3 separate regions of the Mus musculus genome follow, and all the other regions are reported to be linked to region 2. The links are microRNA targets in miRTarBase. Many come from high-throughput screens and were not tested one by one. Region 2 holds a microRNA gene; each other region holds the end of a gene's coding sequence.

Region 1 (7,000 bases), not on the chromosome of region 2:
TCGAGCGTTCCCATGTGCCAGGGGGAGCTGAGGCGTTGGAAGACTGGCCATTACACATTAGTCCACGACAACACCAAGACTGAATTTGCCCTGGACCTGTTTCTGTACTGTGGCTGTGAAGGTAGGGAGGAGCAGGGCCATGGATCAACTCCTTAGTCCAGGCAGGCTCTCCGAAGCGACTCTCCAGCTCAGCCAACTCAGAAGTGCTGGCCTGTGGCCACAATCCCAGAATTCTAAAGGGTGTTGGGGATGGTGAATTTTAGTTTCCCCAAACAGAATTTATATCTGGGTATGGAAAGGTTAATTCCTTTAATTTCCTCTTTCAATATTCATTAGTAAGCCTGGGTTTCAGTTCAGCTGTCTGGGAAATTAGCCATTTAATAGAGAGAGAATCCATGATAGCAGATGCTAAAGGCCAATACAGAAGTTCCAGAGCCCCAGTTCAGCAGTCACTCACTCTGGCAGTGGGAGCTCAGTGCCCTTTGTCTTTCCCTCGTCAGGCTGGGAGCCCGAATATGGCGGCTTTACCTCCTACATTGCTAAAGGTGAAGATGAAGAGGTAAGTAAGTGGCTTCCTTCTGTCAAGTTCTCCTTTCTAACTCTTGAGAAAGTTCTGTTCTTCAGACACCAATTTATTTACCTGTTGGTTTTGTTTCTTTGCTTTGTTTGTTTGTTTGAGGCAGGACCTCACTCTACGGCCCAGGCTGGCCTCACCCTTGGCACAACACTCCTGCCTCCATCAAGCAAAAGCTGATGTTACAGGTGTGAGCCACCACGACGGCAAGAAATACACATTTTATGACCTCAGCCAGTGTTCTTAGCTGATAAATCCATGCTGGCCTGCCTCGAGGTGGCTCTGATTTCACAAGAATATATGGGAGCTTGCAGTAACTCAGTAAAGCGAAAGGAAATTCAGCACACACTGTTGTGCCTTACTGAGAGCCTGAGTTAAGAGGCTCACACCCACCACTCTTTCTAGGGAGTTGGAAGCAAACACATTAGGCCAAACCGTTTCCGGGTTTGTGCTAGTGAGGCAGAGCTTGTTGGGAAATGTCTAGACAGAAACACACCTCTCCTAATAAAAAACTCTTTGGGACCTCCTCCCCAGCCTAAAGAGTCACTATGGAAACCACCTGCTCTGTGATGACTCCCCCGAGCGGAGCGGAAAACGAGCTCTGGGTTCTGACATCTCTCGTGTTTCCCGTTACAGCTGCTCATAGTGAATCCAGAAAACAACTCTTTGGCGTTGGTCTACAGAGACAGAGAAACGCTGAGGTTTGTGAAACACATCAACCACCGCAGCCTAGAGCAGAGCAAAGCCTTCCCAAGCAGAAGCGGCTTCTGGGACTTCGCATTCATCTACTATGAGTAACAAGATGGGGCAGAGCCAGCTAGCATTCACTCCACCAGTGCCAGGAACATGGGGTCTTCGTGGAGTGAGGGAGAGTGGGGCATGCTGGGTAACAGCGTCCTCCGAGCAGGCTGTCCTTGCAGGCTGTGTGGGTGCACACCTGTGATGCCAGCCTCGGGAGGCAGAGAAAGGGGACCTTCAGTTCCCAAGGTCAGTGTGGCTTACACGGTGAGACCCTGTCCCCAAGCAAAACAACTCTTGGTCATCCTTTCAGAAAATTCATCTAGACCTCATGCTAGAGCTATGTACTCGTCCCTGGGTTGCAGAAAAAAATGTTTTCCCCCATTGCAATTCTCTTCGTTCTGTAGTAACTGCCTTGGCGACTTTCTAACTTTGGTGATTTTTTTTTTAATTTATGGTGTATATACAAAATTTAGCAGGGTCACTTTTTTTTGGCTTAGAGTTTGGTTTGGTTTGGTTTGGTTTCTTTTGACAGGGTTGTACTATGTAGCCCAGGCTAGCTCTGAAGTACTGATTCTGCCACCTCAACCTCCTAAGTGCTGGAATTGCAGGCATGAGCCACTGCACCAGTTCCTGCATGTGCAGTCCGTGGAATTGAGCATACTGAAGTGCTCCAAAGCACCCGTCACTGCCATCTGGAAAACACCCAGACCTCATAGGAAGTGGAAATGGTTTTCTGTCTTCCCATAGGGGAGTGCTACTGCCCTTCTTTGATGACTGTTCGCCTCATGAGTGAATCGTGCAGTGGGTCTCGCTTCCTGATTGGCTTGTTTCACTTAGCACAGCGTCCTCAAGGCCTATCAGTGTTTTTCTTCTTCACTCCTAAGTAGTTGTAGAAACTTGCTGAGCCCGAGAGCTGTGACACACGGTGCTCCCACTGTGGGCTGAGCTCCACCCTGACTCTGAGGATAGGGTACCCTCGGGGAGGTAGTGTTGCTCTTTTGGAAGAGGTCTGCCTGAAACCTAACATAGCTCCAGGAATTCCATAGCTGCTTACTGCCCTATGTATTTCCTCTCGTCTACTGCCTTCCAGACCTGGCATCGTGGCTTCTCTGAGTCTAGCCTCCCAGTGACTATGCGTTCCTAAATGCTGGAAGGCCGGGTGTGGAACTTGCTGCCTTTCCCTTCCTTTTGAAAGACCCCCGTGCTAAAAGGCAGTGTCAGGAGGAGAAGTTCAGGAGGAGAAGCCCTCCTTTTGTCTCTGGTCTTTCCCCTGAACTGCTCCATGGGGCTGTGGCACAGCTCTTCCCATTGTGGGGGTGTGCATGATGGCTGAGAGATGTCCTCACACCACCCCACACCACATCTATTTGCTGCTTTCTTGGTTCCTGACTATCCTTGCAGGTTTCAGTGTGGACTTTACTTATCGGTAGGAAAAACGCTGGACCTTTAAGTATCTTATTCACACTTCTCTGACGTCCTAAAAGTCCATCCAAATGCATTCTGTCTTTTACATTGGCTTTCAATTTGTTTTGTTTACCCAGTCAGTAAAACACACTTTAACATTCATATCCTAGTAGATACTTACAAGTTTTATATGTTTTGGTATTAATCATAAAACAAAGTAATTTTTAAATAATGACATGAGAATATCCAGACCTAAACTGAGGGGACATACTTTAATCCCAGCTTTTGGAAGGTAGAGGCAAGAGGATTAAGAGTTCAAGACTATCCTCAGCCACACAGCGAGTTTAAGGCCAGCCTGGGCAGCAGTACACCTTGCCTCAAAAACAAAGATGGAGCCAGGAGTGGGAAGCACGCATCTTTATTCTAGCACTCAGGAGGCAGAGGCAGGCAGATGTGTGAATTCAAGGCCAGCCTGGTCTACAAAGAGAGTTTCAGGACAGTCAGAGCTATATAGTGAAACCCTGATTCAAAAATTAAAAACAAAAGACTCTCCAGACCTAGTTTGAGAGTTGTCTTCCCACGCCAGGCAGTGACCAATGACAGGCTGTTGCCCACGCATACTGTTGTAGACTCCACCGCACTTTAATCCAGAGTAGTGCTCAAGTTGGACTACGCATACTTTGTTGCTAACGGTTACTTTTGAAGCTTGCCTTTTCTGAACTGCTGCAGACTAAAGGCAGGCCCACTCCCCCACCCATCCCACCCTCACTCCCCACCCCCCATTGAAGTGCCTGAGTGGGAAGAACTCTGAAGGGTCCCTCTGTCTTTGCAGAGCCTCCTGGTCTGCAAGAACAATAGAACCTACAGGTTGCCTTTCTGCTCTAGTGAGCAGCTGCGTTTTTCAGTTGCCATGTGCCGCATTGTTGATGTATGGGTGAGACAGATGGTGTATGACAGTGAGCCCGTACGTCTACAGTGGAGCTGAAAGATGCCTGAATTCCAAATCACTCAAAGTCACCGAGAGGCTAGGGAGAACAGGCAGCTGTGCACACAACTGTCACTCACAGGCCACCACCTTATGTGTTCACTCACATGACCTGCTCAGAGTGTGTGCTGTTAAAGCGCTAACTCCCATGTGCAGACAACACAGGTGGAAAGCAGTGAGAATGAAGACAATCAATAAGTGTATGGGCCTGTGTGTGTGTGTGTGTGTGTTAGTATTAACAGAAAATTCAGAAAGGTTAAAAATGAAAATAACTCAAAATATTTTTGTACAGCTATACAATATAAAGTTATAAGTCAAAGTTTAAAATAAAGTTCTATTGCATAAGCTAAGGCTATTGAAGATGGAGTATTTTTAACGTGTCGTCCATGTTGGAAGGCAGAAAAGCTTCCACTTAGTCTGTCCAAGAATACTGTCACGTTTGCACAAGTGATCTTGCCTCAGTTTGCAATTGCTTCATTCTTGATCCTGATTGCTTGCTGCTTTGGGCATGGGGCAAGAGAGTCAAATGTGGGCTCTCAATACCTCTTGTTGGTAAAAGCTATGCTGCTTTCTGTGTGACCAATGGCATGTCTCTCTTAATAATGAGCCTCTAATTCTTTCTTGTTTTCTTATTGATTGGTGTTTTCGAGAAGGGTCTATGTATACCCTAGCTCTCTAATTGCTAAGATTCTAGAGTACCACGGTGTCCAGCTGTGAACTTCCAGTTCTCATAACTCCTTTTCCTAAAGGTGATATTCCCTCCAAAGATAACAATACATAAACAATGCATGTTCATTGTTGGGAATTTAAAAGTGTGGAAAAACACATAGGTCAGCTGAAACCCCTTGCCACCACCCTTTGACAACTGTGTGCTGCCGTAAGCGTGTCAGCATGGCCACCCTGCCCTGTATTAGGAAGCATGGCTCCTCTCTGCCCTCTCTTCCCTCTCTCCTGTTGGGTAAATACAAGGTTGTAAGGCACTTTGTCAGGCTGGGCTCAGAGGGAGCCACTAAGGCCGCCGCTGCAGACAAGAATGAAAACAGTTTTCAGTGGCTCCTTAAGAATAAAAAGGAGCAGCCAGAGATGCGTTTGGAGATCTGTATTCCAGCTAATGCTACCCCAACTGATAGACTGCCTTTAGATTTGTTTTCCCTTAATATAAATGTTTACACATACATTTGAGTGATAAAAAAAAATGGATGTCTGTATTTTTTGTTTTCCCCACAAAATAAAAGTGTTTGTGCATTTCTGCTATGGTGGTAATTTATAAACAACAACAAGGAAGACCAGTGCCTTTTATTTTTAATGAAAAAGTAGGTACTCCATTTTAAATTTCAGTAACAATTTCGGGGGGAATAAATTCATACACTAACTTTATGTACAAAAACAAGTTAAATTCTGAAATGGTGATATATTTTAAGATACAAATCAGCAACACCACTGATATCAATGAAGGAGGCTTTCAGCCGGAGTGCTTTGTCCTTAGCTGTATCAGTTAGCATGGTTTCATCCTTAGCAGCTGGATGCCCAGGCTGTGATCGGGAGCCAGCCAGGCTCCGTGTCTAGACCTTTTGCAGGGGCTTCCTTCCTCTTTCCCTGTCTCCTATGAAGGAGCAGTGCCCACTCGCATGATTCTGAAGAGGGTGTTGATGTTGTTGCTTCGAATCGCATCCCGACAAGCACTGATCACCTGGTTCTTTGGCTTTCCAACTGTGTGAGAAAAAACATTGAGTCGGTGCTTCCCAAAATATGATTAAAAGGGAAATTAGAGATTCAAAGCCAAGCCAGGTTGGTGGCGCACGCCTTTAATCCCAGCATTCTGGAGGCAGAGGCAGGCAGATCTTTGAGTTCAAGGCCAGCCTGGTCTACAGAGTGAGTTCCAGGATAGCCAGGGCTAAACAGAGAAACCCTGTCTGAAAGAAAAGAGGTGGGGGGTAAGGACAGTTTGAAGACAGCATAAAACCAGGGTAGAAAAGAATTACATATACATATACATAGCTAACTTGCTACCTCCTGCAGGGTGTGGTAGCTCACGTCTTTAATCCCAGCACTCGGGAGGTAGAGGCAGGTGGATCTCTGAGTTCGAGGCCAGCCTGGTCTACAAAGTGAGTTCCAGGACAGCCAGGGTTATACAGAGAAACTCTGTCTCGAAAAAAAAACAAAAACAACAAAAAAACAAAAAAAACAAAAAAAACTTGCTACCTTCTAGGAAAGACAGAATTTATTACAAAAAAACTTAGAGGTCATCCCAAGCCAGAATCAAAGTAGGTTTGTAGAGATGACTCAGCTTGCACTCCTAACAAAGGCAGCTTGATCGAAGCAGCGGAATCAGCAGCTCTCCGGCCGCATTTCCATTTCCTGTGGCCTATCCCACAACTCTCTACGCTTCCAAGATGGATGCTTGCCCAAGTTATTTTCAGTTGTTGGTTTTTTTTTGTTTTGTTTTGTTTTTTTCCGTCCCTAACTTACAAAGTTATTTTCTTCCTTTGGATTATAAAACTAAGTTTTCCTTTAGGACAGTGGTTCTCAACCTTCCTAATGCTGCAACCCTGTGATATAGTTAATTCTTCATGTTGTGGTTACCCCCAACCATAAAATTATTTCTTTGCTACTCATAACCACTTTTGCTACTGTTATAAATTGTAATTTTCTGATATGTGACCTCCAGAGAGGTCACACCCCACAGGGTGATAATTGCTGCTTTAGCAGCTACAGCAAGATCTTAGAAAAGGAATTTAGGGTTTTATTCCTTTTTTTCTTTTTTTTGGATTTTGGTTTTTCGAGACAGGGTTTCTCTGTGTAGCCCTGGCTGTCCTGGAACTCACTCTGTAGACCAGGCTGGCCTCGAACTCAGAAATCCGCCTGCCTCTGCCTCCCAAGTGCTGGGATTAAAGGCGTGAGCCACCACGCCCGGCTATTTATTTATTTATTGAGACAGGGTTTCTTCATGTAGCCTTGGCTGTCCTGGGACTCATTCTGTAGGTCAGGCTGGCCTATACTAACAAGAGATCTGCCTGCTTCTTCTACCTCTTAAGTGCTGGGATTAAAGGTGTATGCCACCATGCCCTGCAAGGCTTTATTTCTTTAAAAAACAGAACAATAAAACCAAAAATCTGTCTAGAGAAAACTAAAGTCCTGGGTTGAGTAGTAGAAGCCAGGGCCAGCTCTGGAGTGTTGAAGGAAGGCTGCTTTGGGCTTCAGTGTGAGTTTTATAATGTATCCACAATCTTCTGTGACCCTCATGTTTTCAAAATACCATAGGCAAATCAGGTACCAGGGAAAGACTTACCGCGCAG
Region 2 (7,260 bases):
GTCCTTGGCCATTGGCTGCAAATGCTGGCCCGGGGCAGCTGAAGAGGAGCAGGAAGATGAGGAAGAAGACCTGCCCTTGGTGTTGGGCAGTTTGTGGTCTTTTTTCCACTTCATCCTCCGGTTCTGGAACCAGATCTTGATCTGGCGCTCAGACAGACACAGGGTGTGAGCGATTTCAATCCGACGGCGCCTGGTCAGATACCTGTTAAAATGAAATTCCTTTTCCAGTTCTAGGACTTGCTGTCTGGTGTAGGCCGTCCGGGAGCGCTTGGGCTCCCCGCCGGTGTAGTTGGGGTTCACTATGAGACAAAACATACAAGACAGCCAGGTCAGAGCCCGGCCACTAGTTAGGCCCCAGGCTTGCCTCTGCCCTCACTTCCTGGCGCGTCTCGCAGCCCTCGGGCCCCCCCTGTGCTCCAAGCTGGCCAGCTTCCTCCCTCCCGCCCTCTCCCTAAACATACACACACTCCCACCCAAGCCCTTCCATGCACACACTCCCCACGCTCACAGGTCCTCCTCAAAGGTTCTCCCTTGCCACTGGCCCACCAAGAGCTCGGTATCGCCAACATTTTGGAAAGGTCCTTGTTTTGCTCTGCGTTCCCTCTGCTGTGGAAATGGAGTCCTCCCCCCACCCCATCCCCATCCCCACCCCCTTTTGCGCCCACAGCCAAGCAGCCAGCCACATGGTCCCGGCCTGCTCCCTCAGCTATAAAAATTTATGGAGAGAGTAATTGCGGCGCCCAAGGAAGCTGCACAAGCCCCTACCCATTCGCAACCCCTGGGGTGGGGGGTGCAGGCCAAAAGATGCAAGGAGTGGTGCGGGAGGGCTGTGAGGTCGCTGCCCCCACTCCTTACCCGAATTCACGTGCACCTTCTTCATCCAAGGGTAGACCACAGCGGGCTGCTTGAGTGCTGTCCCGGGGGGCGGCTGCTTGGGGCCGGTGGGCTGGCTGCAGGCCCGAGCGCCAGGCAGGGGCGCAGGCGGGGGCGCTGGGCACCGCTCTCCCGGGGCACCGTAATGACTTCCCGGGCCGCTCGGCTCCTGTCCGTGACCCCTCGCGGGCAGCGCTGAGCCAGGCCCGGGCCCGCCGCCTCCGAAGGGTTGCTCGCCGAAGTCGGGCCGTGGGTAGAGCCCCGAGGGCTGGAAGTCGGCGCCCTGTGCACCGCTGCCGTAGTAGTCGGCTCCCTGCTCGCCTAGGTAGCCACCCTGCAAATATTCCTCGCACGGAGGAAACTTGGGGTCCACGTACTTAGAGTTCACCATATACGAACTCATGGCCATTAATTTCAGAAGGTAGAAAATACTAATTTTTCTCGTGTTGTCTTTTTTCTCCTTCCATTGGGCCCTCCTACTTGCTGTCAACTGAATAAAGTTGGGCGGCCATGTGACCAGGCCAGCCAATAGGAAGAAAGCATGTTTATCACCGGGTTGGTGAGCATCTCATAATTTTCACAAATTTAACTAAATAACATACGTGTAATCAAGTGACTTGCCATGCCACATTTGAGAGTCCCTGACAGATGCTAATAGAGTTCTAATTCTATCCCCGGGGTCCCAATTTCCGGCAGGTAATCTCGGCTTTTGTCTTCCACTGACTTTGCTAACCTCCCATGCCCTCCTTACTCACCATCGCCTGAAGCAGCCCCCAGAATGGACATAGTTCAAAGAAGAGTGAATTCTCCTACTGGGGTGCAAAATAAGGAAGAATGAGTGTGGGCAATGTGGCCTCCGAGTTGGGTAGAGTCCTAGGCAGGCAGGCAGGCTGCCCGGCCAGCTGGCAGGAGTCCTGGACTCTGACATACAAAGACCTGTCTTGGCTTTGTCTTCATCAGGGTCACCCAAAAGTTACCAGAATCTGGCGGACCTGAATTGAGTTAGGCAATGAGTAACCACTATGCTTTTCTGCCAATGCGCAGGCTGGGGTGTTTCTAGTTGAAGTTGGATCTTTCTGCAGGAGGCCCTCACAGTTCTGAGTCTGGTGGCTGAGGGGTTGGGTCATATTGGGATGGTGGGGAGGGGGACCTTAACCTTGCCTAAATGTACCCCAACGGTCTCCGATGGCCTATCTTTCAGTTTGTCTTCTTCCCACACAAGGGCAGGTGAGCCCCATTTGGGTACCTTTGTGTCTCATGCTCCTTCAGAGCAGGGCTTCTGCTGGAGCTTTCTGGCCTTTCACCTCACTCTCTAATACCCTAAAACCTGGCTCTCTGGCTTTACACTCAGACAACCACTTGAGCACCTACTGGAATATCTATAGGAGTTTCTCCAGGAAAAGGCTGTACAATTTCACCAGGCAAAGTCGATCATCCTGGAGTCTAAGGTAATGAAAAAGAAAGAGGTGGCTTGCCGGCTGGGCTGCCAGTACTCTCCGCGCCTCAGTCTCTGGCCATGTCGGAGATATATGAAGTTTTTGCATCGACCATATATTCCCCTAGAATCGAATCTGTGACTATGTGGGTACCACACAAATTCGGTTCTACAGGGTATATATAGACAACGTTACAACCTCGGGTCCTACCCAGAGCAGACATTCAGGCAGCTGCCAGACCTGATCTCTTCAGCACAGCCACCAGGAACTCACCAAGCCTGGCTTTCAGAGATGGTGCAGGTAGGCTCGGTGCATTTCTAAGTATTGCTGCTCGCTACAGCAATGAGTTCCCTCATCGGCTTGCCAGGATGGGGGCCACCAAGTAGCTGAGCAGCCAGGACCTTCTTCTTCTTAAAAAAAAAAAAAAGAAAAGAAAAGAAGGGGAGTTTTTTTTTCACCCCAGAGATGGCGGCTTAATTGCCCCTTCTCAGAACCCAAATCTCCCGCCCCCTTATCAAGTGGTATTTCCCAAAAAGAAGCAAAGGCCCTCAGCAGCAGAAAGGGAGTTTTGAAAAAGGCAAAAGGAATAGTCTTCACCAGAACCTAAGCCAAGTGAGTGGTCACAGCTAGTCCTCCTAGAATTCGAGCATTTACCTTTCTGGGCCCTCAGCCCCGCCGGACTTTCGGATCCCGCTGCTGCTGCTTCTGCTGCTGCTATGACTGCTGCTGCAGACCCGGAGGCAGGCGCTGTTTGCGGCCACCGAGCCTCCCTGGGCTGAGACTGTCGAGCTAATGGTGAAGGGCAGGGCGAGGGGTCATTCGAAATCATTTACAAACATATCACAAAGTTTCATTATTTTTGCTTTGCCGACAGCAGCACAGAAGAGTACAAAAGTTCGCGAATTTCGCCGCCCCAGCGCCTCCGCTGTCCTGGGCTTGCCCCTCAATTCAGGGCATCAAGAGCCCAGATGCACTCTGGGGCTGGGCTGATTTCAGGGGCAGAGGGATGCCCTGGCCTGGGCCGAGCTTATGGATGCCTGATAACAGATTGAAGATGTCCACATTTCTAAGTATTGTTTTGATCCCTTCCTATATAATTCGAAAAATCACTTTCAAGCCCCATGCCTTGATTTTGATGGGGTGGGGCAGGGAGACTCCCCTCATCATATCTGGCAAAATTAGGTGCTCACTTTGACCCTGTACTTTGCCCTTCCATGCCCTCCCACCATCTTTCACTTCCACTATTTTGCAGGGATTTCCCAGGTGTCAGTTCTAAAAAAAAAAAAGGGGGTTAAAATCCGTTTGTTTAAAGACTCTCCCCAGTTTCTCCTAATGCCAGCCCTTTCACCCATGGACACGTTGACAGGCCTTTCTGGGGACACTGGGCCTACCTCTGTTTTACCCAGACAAATTGGGGAAGTCCGATGGGTTGAGTGAGGACCAAGATGAGTACACACATTTTCATATTTGTTAGACATTGTGACCTGCATTTCACCTTATTGCTCGACTTGTTCAGACAGGTCAAAGCCAACAAGTTATTGATGAACAAAAGCGTTAAATATTCACCTCCCTCTCAACTGCCCATACAAATGCTTTTGATCTCTCCGGCTTTTTGTGCTGTGGGCAGCTACAAGGCGCCAGCAAGCAAGCAGCCTCAGCAGAGATGAGCCCTCACAGCCAAGGGTGCCAAGGAAGAGGGCAGGGGCAAGGCCAGAGAAAGTCTGGGGAGTCCAGATTTTTCACCATGGAGCCTGGTTCACTGTGTGCAGGCCTGGTTCATAGAAGGAACTACAAGCTGTAAAGGTCTTCACTTCCCTGTTAGCTCAGCCTCACCAGGGGCCCAGCAAAGAAACCTGGCCCTGAGCCCAGTCTCAGCTTCTCTGACCAGGAAGGGAAGACATCTCACAAGAGAGGGAGGATGCCTGGTCCCTGTGGTCCTTACCAATCTGCTACTGTTCCATTAAAATTAAACTACCTGTGGTTTGCAGTGAGTGGCAAGCCTCTACTATTTCCTTGACTCTCCTTCTAGTGCCAACCCTTCTAATGACACCCAGAAGATGTCACCAGCATTCTCAGCTTCAAACTTCAGAGCCAAAGAACTGGAGTCCCTGCCTCTGATCCCACCCAATTCCACTGGACTCTGGAGTAGAGTAGAAATTCTTCAACTGCAGCTAAGGAGAAACGGAGGGAAAGAGAAAGTACTCTTTTTGTTCACCGGGTATCCCAAACTGGGACCCACACCAGTGAAGCTAGGACCCAGAAAGGGACAGGAGAGGAATGTCTACATAAGCTCAGAAGTTGTAGCCCTTCCTGGAAACAGGCCAATCCAACACACCCAAGACCATCAAGGGTTATATGTTTGTTTTTGTCTGTAATAAATCAAATTTTAAATTAAAACCTATATACAGCAAGAGAAGGCTGAGATAGACTGGGCAGAGAGAATAATGGCTGGACAGCAGAGAGGGACCCCCGTTGCCTTGGTGTTGATTGGGTCAATTCTAGCAGTTGTGGATGCTGGCCCGCCCGTAGTTCAGTTCGTTGATAGGGTGGGCTGCTAATTAGCTGCAAGTCTGCTGCACCTGTGCGAGCCAGAGAAGCCTGGCAAAGGCCTGTATGGTCCAGAGAGGTCCGGGAAGACAAGGGCGGTCCCCTGCGGTGCGTTTACTTGAGCAGGTGACTGTGAACTAGGTCCCAGAAATACTTCCTAAAGGGTCAGCCTAGAGCTTCCATCCCTCCACGAAGCGAGTCCGTTTTGGCCTGGGGAGGCAGCGCCACTCCGCTACTCCTTAACCCTCCCATCACCGCTGGCGCGGACCTTCCGCCCACCTCCTCCCAGTCTTAGCACTACCCTTTCGTTCCTCGGAAGAAAAGGGAAGGTACTTACAGTGGTTCTCCCTCGTTCTCCCTGACGCTCCAAAACCTGTTGCAATGAAAGTGGGGTCTCTCAAATTTCACAGGACAATAAAGCATCCATAGGCGACATGCAGAACGTGACAAGGCCCAGACATTCCACCAATACCTAGAACTCCTTGCTTCTGGTGACCGCCTTCGGGTACTGCACAAAGTTTTCCTCTGATAGCATCCTCAAAGGCAGAGCTAAGGGCTATGGGAGTCTGTCCTGGTCACCTACCCTACTTCACGCACCCTTGGGCAAAACCCAACCAGTTATACGGCCTGACTCAGACTGCCTGAGGCAGGGTTTCCCCAGGGGGGAAATGGGAAGTCAGAAAATAGGCCTTTGTGCATTTCCTTCTGGTGTGGGAGGGTGGGTGCGAGCCCACTGGTGAGAGCCTGCAGACATTCTATTTGTCCCGACCCCAATTCTGCTCCCTCTGGAAACAGTTCAGACCTCCTTTTCCAGTTTCAGGTTGGTTTTTAATTCCACCCCAGCGTCCAAACCTGCATTCTCCTCAAAGAGGAGGCATGGCAGGCAGGGACATATTTTTTTTTTTCCATGTCTCCAATTCAAAACAGTCATTTCCTTCCGAGGGGAAATGAGAACCCAAAAGATAACCAGAAAGGGAAATTGATGTGTTTAAAGGAAAATGATCTAGATCTTACAGACATGGTCTAAAATATGATCTCATTCTATCTGTTTGACATTAATTTTTTAAACATACCTGCAGGAGAACCTACAGACCGATCAAAGAGAACAGTGGTTCCCAGGGCACTCATGTCCATCTTCAAGTTTTTAGTCTTCTAGGAACAGAAAGAAAAAGAAAAGGGGGGGCAAACCCCGCTCTGAACTACCTCAGAGGTAACTCATCTCCACACCGGTCCCCTCTCCTCCCCACCCCCCATCATTGCTTTCTTCCACTTTTAAAGTTGTTGCTCCACTACTGAGAGGCAAGTGTAAGTCCTGCTTTTGGGGTAGAAGGCCCTCACTTCCCAACGTTCCAGGTATACACAGGAGAGGGAAATGCCAAGACCCCCCATTCAATTTATTAAGTTAGGCTTAGGCTAAAATTAAAATGAACTTCAATAGATAGGCTTTCCCCAAGCAGAGAAGGCTGGGCTCAGACCCCCTGCCCCACAACTCTAGAGTTATTGTGGACAAAGTAATGAGTGACTTACTGGGTTTCTTTTCGTTGGTAGAGAAGCTTAGAGGAGAGCTGTCTCCTGAGCCCGGGGCGCTGGCTGGAGCCTCTCACTTGCCTATCGCTGCTACAGGAACCAAGCATCTGCACTTGTATGCTCTTAACCTAATTTATGGTGGGAATTATATTTTGGCTTGTCAACTCTCAAGCCATAAAACAAAGTTTATTGGAATCACGTGCTTATAAATAGCCACTCAGGTCCCGGCTCTGCAGAACCATAAATAACCTTTGGCTTTAAACTTTTATTCACTAAATAAAGGTTCACTGCAACTGTTCCCTTGGATTTAAATAGTTCCAAATATCCAGAATGCGAGAGAGGTCATATTCATATCAATACCCCGGGCTTTTCAACTTGCATCTTTTCAGAGAAAGCTGTTTAAATTGGGGGATAGTGCTATTTGGACAAGGCTGGTTGGTAGGCTTGTCCTATGACTCTTGGGCTGCATCCACTGTGAGTACCATCACCGCCTTTATTTCAATCATTTTCTAGCATTCGATGTGGTAAGCAGGAAAGACAAAGGCTACTTCTTACTTGCTTATCGCAAAAGTTGGAAATTATTTTTGAGATTTTTTGCTTGATTCAATAGGGAAGAGTGGCCAGGGGAGAGGCTGGGTGGCCTTGGGGGTGGGGAGGCAGCTGGGATTAACACTTAGTGTCCTCTGTATTGTTGTGGATGGGGCTTGGTGAAAGTTGAAGATTGCCACATGCCTAGGGGTTTTTATAATTTGCTCAGATCTGAAAGAGAAGCCTTTGCAAGTGACCAAACTGCTTAAAACAGCAAGACTTGAGGTTTGGTGAAGTGAGAAAGTGGAGAACAGGCCCCACCGGACTCTGGCGAGTAAGGCTCTGAAGA
Region 3 (7,000 bases), not on the chromosome of region 2:
TTCAGTTGACAACTGTGCCGCCCAGTGTTTCCATCCTCCCTCTCACAGGTGGGGATACTGAGGCACAGGTCTCAGAGGCGCAGCATCCTTAATTTACTGTCCTCCCAGGTGCTGGCCACAGATATGTCTAAGCACATGAGCCTTCTGGCCGACCTCAAGACCATGGTGGAGACGAAGAAAGTGACCAGCCTTGGCGTCCTGCTCTTGGACAACTACTCTGACCGCATCCAGGTTTGTGAGGCGGGGCCATAGCCTCAGTTTTCAGCTTTAGCTTCCTGAGAGAGTCTTACTCTGTAGCTCAGACTGCTTCAGTAGTCAACAGTCTCCTGCCTTGGGCGCGCACCACCACACTACACTCAGCTTTGGGATGTGGTGAGGTGGGGCGTGGCTGGGCCTTGTGAGTCCCCCCATACCCAACAGGTTCTCCAGAGCCTGGTGCACTGCGCTGACCTCAGCAACCCCGCCAAGCCGCTACCCCTCTACCGCCAGTGGACGGAGCGCATCATGGCCGAGTTCTTCCAGCAGGGTGACCGGGAGCGAGAGTCGGGTCTGGACATCAGCCCCATGTGCGACAAACACACAGCCTCGATGGAGAAATCCCAGGTGCGGGAAGGGAGCTGTGCCCACTACAGGGCGGAGTCTTTCTTGAGACAGGGTTTTCTGTGCAGCCCTGGCTGTCCTGGGACCTCCTCTGTAGACCAGGCTGGTCTCTGTCTCAGAGATCCGCCTGCCTATGCTTCCCAAGTGCAGGGATCAAAGGTGTGCGCCACCAGCCAGCTAGGGCAGATGTTTTGATTTGTTGTTTTGAAGACATCTCATTTTGTCACCCTGGCTGGCCTAGAACTCACTGGCTTGAGATCACCCTGCCTCAGTCTCCTCCTGTTGTGCCAGGATGGCTTTTTTCAAGAGGATTTTGAAGGATGAATAGGAGTTGGCAAATGAGAATTCCAGGCTGAGAACACCAGGTGGCCAACTGTGAGATGGGACTAATTCTAGGTTTCACTGGGTCTCACTTGCCCCTTCTGTGATCACCCTAAGGTGGGATTCATTGACTACATCGCTCAGCCATTGTGGGAGACATGGGCTGACCTAGTGCACCCCGATGCTCAGGAGCTTCTGGACACCTTGGAAGACAACAGAGAGTGGTATCAGAGTAGGATTCCCTGCAGCCCTCCACACACCATGGGCTCGGACAGGTTCAAGTTTGAGCTGACCCTGGAGGAAGCAGAGGAAGAGGAGGAAGAGGAGGATGAAGGGCAGTGCACAGCACTGAACAGGGAGTCCTCAGAGTTACCCAGCACTTAACTCCTGTCCTCTAAGGCCAGCCCAGAGCCCAGGGTCTGCTTTGTCCAACAAGAGTTGGGCTAGCTTAGTGTGGACCGTGGAGTCCTGGTCAGGCCATGGGCACCTATGGGCACTGATGACGTTCCACCACTCAAAGAGGACAGCCAAGGTTTACACAGAGCCAAGCCTGAGGGAGGCTGGGACCAGCTCTGCCCACAGACTGGAATGGCACCAGCCCTGGGAAGCGCCGACTCCTGCATCTCAGAAGACAGACTTAGACTCAGCTGCAGTCTGCACGTCAGCTTCAGCACATGCAGTCGGACTCTGTGTTATGGTTTAGTTGGTTTCTTTTTTGGCACTAAAGATGGAACCAATGTTGCCTTCACCAGTCCAGCTGCAAGCCTTTACTGAGTCCCTCGGGGGAATCCCTTTCGTAAAATGCGGGCGGGGAACACTTCCCACTGAGGTCTGGTGTCTCCTGACACCATTGGCTGCACAAGACTCTTCTTAGATATCAGGAGGCCGGTGACCCTCCTAGAAGACCACTGCAGGCCTCAGTCCTCCCATCAATGAGGATCCCCGTCTCCGACAAGATTGGGCTTCTCAAACCAGTGTGCTGGTGCACCTCTCTTCACCATAGGCATCCCCCAGACTTGGCTGTGTGTGTGTGGAGACAGCTGGTCCAGGCTGGGCAGCCTGACTAGAAATAAAAAGAGCTGGAAGTGGGCTGGAAAGATGGCTCAGTGGTTAGGAGCACTGACTGTTCTTCCAGAGGTCCTGAGTTCAAATCCCAGCAACCACGTGGTGGCTCACAATCATCTGTAATGGGATCTGTTTTTTGTTTTGTTTTGTTTTGTTTGTTTGTTTTCGATACAGGGTTTCTCTGTGTAGCCCTGGCTGTCCTGGAACTCACTCTGCAGACCAGGCTGGCCTCGAACTCAGAAATCCACCTGCCTCTGCCTCCCAAGTGCTGGGATTAAAGACATGTGCCACCACCACTGTGTGGCCTGAAATGGGATCTGATGCCCTCTTCTTTTGTGTCTGAAGAAAGCAATGGTTACTCACATATAATAAATAAATAAATCTTTAAAAAAAAAAAAGTAGCTGGAGTGTGGCTAAGGGGTGGAGCTTCTGCCTAGAATTGCCCAATGAGGGGCTTGGGGTGTGGCTCTGGTAACAGAGCTTTAGCTTTTGGGAAGTCCTGAGTTCCATTTCTATCACTGCAAAAATAGAATAAATAGAAGAGCACTGCAGGCCTCAGTCTTCCCGTCAATGAGGATCCCTGTCTCTGACAAGATTGGGCTTCTCAAACCAGAGTGCCGGCACACCTCTCTTCACCATAGGCGTTCCCTAGTCAGGGTTCTCTAGAGTCACAGAATTTATGGGTATTCTCTATATAGTAAAGGAATTTATTGATGACTTAGAGTCTGCAGTTCAACTCCCAACAGTGGTCAGCAGCAGCTGTGAATGGAAGTCCAAGGATCTAGCAGTTGCTCAGTCCTACACGGCAAGCAGGTGAAGGAGAGAAAGCCTTCCTTCTTCCAATGTCCTTATGTAGGTCTCCAGCAGAAGGTGTAGCCCAGATTAAAGGTGTGTGCCACCACACCTTTAATCACAGATGACCTTGAACTCAGAGATTTCCCTGTTTTTGTTTTTTTTTTAAAGATTTATTTATTTATTATATGTAAGTACACTGCAGCTGTCTTCAGATGCACCAGAAGAGGGTGTCAGATCTCATTACGGATGGTTGTGAGCCACCATGTGGTTGTTGGGATTTGAACTCAGGACCTTCGGAAGAGCAGCGGTACTCTTAACCACTGAGCCATCTCTCCAGCCCATGAGATCTCCCTGTCTTAATCTTCTGGAAGCCATAGCCACTATGTCTTAAGATCTCCATACCAAGATCCAGATCAGAAACTTCTATCTCCAAGCCTCCAGATTAGGGTCACTGGTGAGCCTTCCAATTCTGGATTGTAGTTCATTCCAGATATAGTCAAGTTGACAACCAGGAATAGCCGCGACACCTACTCATTCTCTTGTGTGGAAACTGAGTCATAACTAGTCCCTCAGAGCTTATATACTAAGAGTGGGCACTGGTGCCCCCTGGCGGTATGACTGATTCCCTGTTTGTTTTCCAAACAGTTCTTTGGCCGTTTTGAGACAAGGTCTCATGGTCTCAAGTTCTAATGTCAGACTTGTTTGCCGCAGAGGATGACACTAACGTTATTTTCTTGCCTCCACCATTCGAGTGCTTGGCTGGGGTAACAGGCATGTGCCATGGGGGGGGGGGGGTCCCTCTCTTTCCCTTTTCCTTTTTCCCTCTGAGCCTGTAACTCTGCACCTGACCAAGGCCTCCAAGGAGCCAGAGTGGCAGGCGACTTCCTCTGTAAATATTATGACTCGGGCTATTCATCCCCAGGAGGCACAAAAGGCCATCTGGGGTCACACACTGGAACATTTCCTTCTTCCTTCCAGATGTCTTAAGAGGCGACCCTTAGAGATTTCTTGTTAAACAAAGTCATGTGTGTTCACTGTGGGAGAATTTGGAAGTCACACAAACCTGATGACGTGAGTTCCATTCCTAGGACTTGTGCTGGAAGGAAAGAACTGACTTCCTAGGTTGTCCTGTGACACTCCCCTCTTTCCAACACAAATAAATGAATATAACTTAGAAAGATTTGAGGAACAGCTTCCCTCTGTCCCTTCTTCTGCCTGTGCTCTTGTTTGCCCAGGCCTTTAACACACTTGCTTCATTCTTCCAGACAGCTGTGCTGTCCTCTCTGGGGAGCCTCAAACTCAGAAATTCCCAAGTGCTGTGTAATTAAAGGTTTCTGTTACCATGCCAGCAGTTTCCCCGCACACGTTTATAGTATGAAACAGGGTCTCACTTTGTGATCCAGGATGATAAAGAACTCAACAACCCTCCTGCCTCAGCTTTCCAAGTGTTCCGATGAAGCCTTGCCACCTACTGAGCTACCAGCACAGTTCTCCTGGAGCCCTTGCTTGGTGGTGGAAGCAAATGGGTTCCTCCCCTAACCTTATCCCTTCGGAATAAATCCAAATCAGGCTCCAGTGTCCCAGGCTCCTCCTGCACCCTTTCTGTCCTCAAACCCGGTCCCGGTCCCCACAGTAGCCTCCGCGTGGGCCCGGAGCTCGCTAAGTAACAAACTGATGGTCACTTTGTGTCTCTGCATGAAGTGCAGGGGAAGCAGGAAATAAGCTTCCTCCAGCGGCCCCGGATTGGGCGGGGCTCCAGGCTCCTCGCGGGGGTGGACGAGCATCCAGGCGACAAGTTATTCTGGTCCATTGGCGCCTCCGCAGCTGGCGGGGAGGTCTATAAACAGGGCCAGGACACGTTCCCAGTTCTGCTTCCTGTGGGAATGGAAGCGATGGGGACCCTGCCCGGCCGCACGGAGAGGAAGAATAGGATAGACCCCAGATTCCCACCTTGACAGGCAGATTTGCAGGAATGAGTCGTGTGTATCATAGCGGCTTGGAAGTCTGCATTTCTGCGCCCACCTTCCTGAGACACAGGGTTACCCGGGTCCCAGTGTCCATATCGTAAAGGGCGTTGGGCAGCTACTCTTGAATCTTCTCTGCTTCCTTGGTCTTTCATTACAATTTTGGAAGACTTATGGGTCAGGATACTTCTGAGCCCTAAGTGCGCAAGGAAGCAAGGGGTTCTCTGGGGACTCATCAGACCCTTTTCTCTTTGCACAGACCGGATTTTCTCCTTTATTTCTTTGAGGCAGGGTTTTATGTGGATCAAGCTGACTTTAAGACACTATGTAACTGAGGATCACCTTGGACTTCTGCTTCTCCCCTCCTTCCCTTCTCCTCCCAGTGCAGAGAACAGGAGCCTGGATCAACCCAGGTCTTTGTGATGCAGGTTCCCCACCAAACTGAGAATTATCCTCAGCCCATCAAAAAACAGTTCTTTCTTTCTTTCTTTTTTTAAAAATTATTTATTTATTTGCTTGTTTATTTTGTTTTTTGAGACAAAGTTTCTCTTCATAGTCCTGCTGTCCTGGAACTCACGTTGTAGACCAGGCTGGCCTCGAACTCACAGAGATCTGCCTCCATCTCCCTTCTGAGTGCTGGGACTAAAAATTCTGTGTGGTCTTTAATGAGTTTTTTGAGCCCTAAAATGTAATCAAGATGTATGCCTGCCAATCCAACACTTGTGAGGTGCAGGCGGGAGGATCAAGAGTTCAAGATCAGCCTCTGCTACTTGGCAAGTTCGAGACCAGCTTGTTACTTGAGACCATTTCTCAAAACAAAACCTAAACTCCTGAGTGCTTCACGTCTCAAAAGCAAGGACTTCTAACCACAAGTTTCCAACCAGAGCTAGGTCCTGGCCTCAGCCTCTCCGCCCTTCAAACACCTAGCAGTCACCATTGGGCCTCTAAAGACGTAGGAATCGCTGATTTGATATTCGGTCCGTCGCTCGAGAGCATCAGCCAATGGAAACTTCATGCCTCCCTAGAGCCCCGTCTTCCAGTGGCTTACCAGGCCCTGCCCCTCTTCTGCCGGCGCAGGCCAGTGTGGTCCCGCGGCTGTCGATGCAGTCCCTCCCCTAACGTCACAGCTTCGTTTGCATAGAAAGCCCCGCCCCTGGCTTTGCAGGACGTCAGCTAGGACTGCAGGGGCCTGAGCCTCCTCCGCTGCCGCCTGCAGCCCCCGCCGCCGCCTGCATCCCCCGCATCCTCTTCTGGGGCCCGGTCGCCAGCGCAGTCGCCACGGTCGCCGTCGCCAGCGTTGTCTCAGCTTAGAGAGGGTAAGGGTGAGCGCAACCCAGGTCCACACACTGAGGAGCCCGCGTTTCACTGACAGCTGGGGGATCAAGGGGAGCGCAACTCGGGTGTAGTGGCTATGGGTCTCGCATTTGGCATTCTTGGTCCCGCATCCCGCACCCCTCGCCCTTAACCTGGCACCTGGGGCCCGGGCTCTGCGACAGAGGGGGAGGGGAAAGCCAGGCCTTGCGGGAGGCTTGTGCGTGCTCGTGCTCGTGGGGTGAACACGCGTGTGCGCGCCCGCTGGGCATGGAGAGGCTCGAGTGACCGCAGGACGCGCAGCGTGCACACTTGTGATACGTTGTGCGTGCATGGTCCGCGTGCGCGGTGCGCGTGGATCTTAGTTCAAGTATGTGCTCACACGCGTGTGGAGCCATGCGCGTGTGTGGTGTGTCCTCCCGGATGGCCAGGTACAGTCGTGCATTGGTGCAGGGAGCTGTGCTCACACATGGGCTTGCACACACCATACATGTCTGCTTGTTTCGCCTGTTAGCACCACTCTTGCATGCAGGGCAGGTGTTTGGGTCTGCCTGCCCTAGATGCTTCATTGTGCTTGTGTGTGTGTGTGTGTGTGTATGCGTGCGCGCTCTTGTGCTCGCGATTTTGTGTGTGTGAGCCTACGTTCATCCTGTCTTCGTCACGTGATGTGGCTATCTCAGGGCCCCAGTTCTTGCAGGAGAAAAATAAGGATGAGCGAGAACTGGGGATCCTCCTGTATTCATGTTCCGGTGTGGGTCTCTGTGAGAGACTGATGGGAAGGCAGAGGAGGCTCAGTCTTCCCTCAGGGTACAGGGGAATCTGAGGTTCACAGCCTGCTTAAAACCTTGGTGCTGTCAAGGTCACAGCTCTGCCTTATGTTGGTTGGGGGGGTTGAGCATGTGACATTGGGGGGTATCCTCACCTACCCCTGTGCCGTGCCCACC

What was found. Region 2 holds the annotated microRNA mmu-miR-10b-5p (UACCCUGUAGAACCGAAUUUGUG, at 2,465-2,487, opposite strand). A microRNA usually pairs through its seed, bases 2 to 8, with sites in the 3' UTR of a target mRNA and lowers its output. Matches are read on the target gene's strand: a 7mer-m8 pairs with bases 2 to 8, a 7mer-A1 pairs with bases 2 to 7 and ends in A, and an 8mer does both.
Region 1: miRTarBase lists Ogfod1 as a target of mmu-miR-10b-5p. Seed matches in the 3' UTR shown: 7mer-m8 at 1,844-1,850.
Region 3: the mRNA of Pde4c is a reported target of mmu-miR-10b-5p. Seed matches in the 3' UTR shown: 7mer-m8 at 2,157-2,163.

Annotation. Positions count from the first base shown.
Region 1 is chr8:94,062,969-94,069,968 of GRCm38, forward strand. Ogfod1 (2-oxoglutarate and iron-dependent oxygenase domain containing 1) reads left to right here. Exons shown (of 13, transcript NM_177767.4): 11 at 1-121; 12 at 501-559; 13 at 1,211-4,954. The coding sequence ends at 1,372. Bbs2 (Bardet-Biedl syndrome 2 (human)) reads right to left here. Exons shown (of 17, transcript NM_026116.3): 16 at 6,994-7,000; 17 at 4,984-5,414. The coding sequence ends at 5,308. Among named protein-coding and RNA genes, the nearest start is that of Ogfod1, 29 kb to the left of the region's middle.
Region 2 is chr2:74,721,301-74,728,560 of GRCm38, reverse strand. Mir10b (microRNA 10b) reads right to left here and starts at 2,491; the gene lies at 2,424-2,491. All of the region lies in intron 1 of Hoxd3 (homeobox D3), which reads right to left. It overlaps Hoxd4 (homeobox D4), which reads right to left and starts at 6,583. Exons shown (of 6, transcript NM_010469.2): 1 at 6,384-6,583; 2 at 5,930-6,008; 3 at 5,194-5,229; 4 at 2,583-3,098; 5 at 856-1,685; 6 at 1-299. The coding sequence starts at 1,282.
Region 3 is chr8:70,748,803-70,755,802 of GRCm38, forward strand. It overlaps Pde4c (phosphodiesterase 4C, cAMP specific), which reads left to right. Exons shown (of 17, transcript NM_001310465.1): 15 at 109-231; 16 at 421-603; 17 at 1,039-2,384. The coding sequence ends at 1,305. It overlaps Rab3a (RAB3A, member RAS oncogene family), which reads left to right and starts at 5,901. Exons shown (of 5, transcript NM_009001.7): 1 at 5,901-6,061.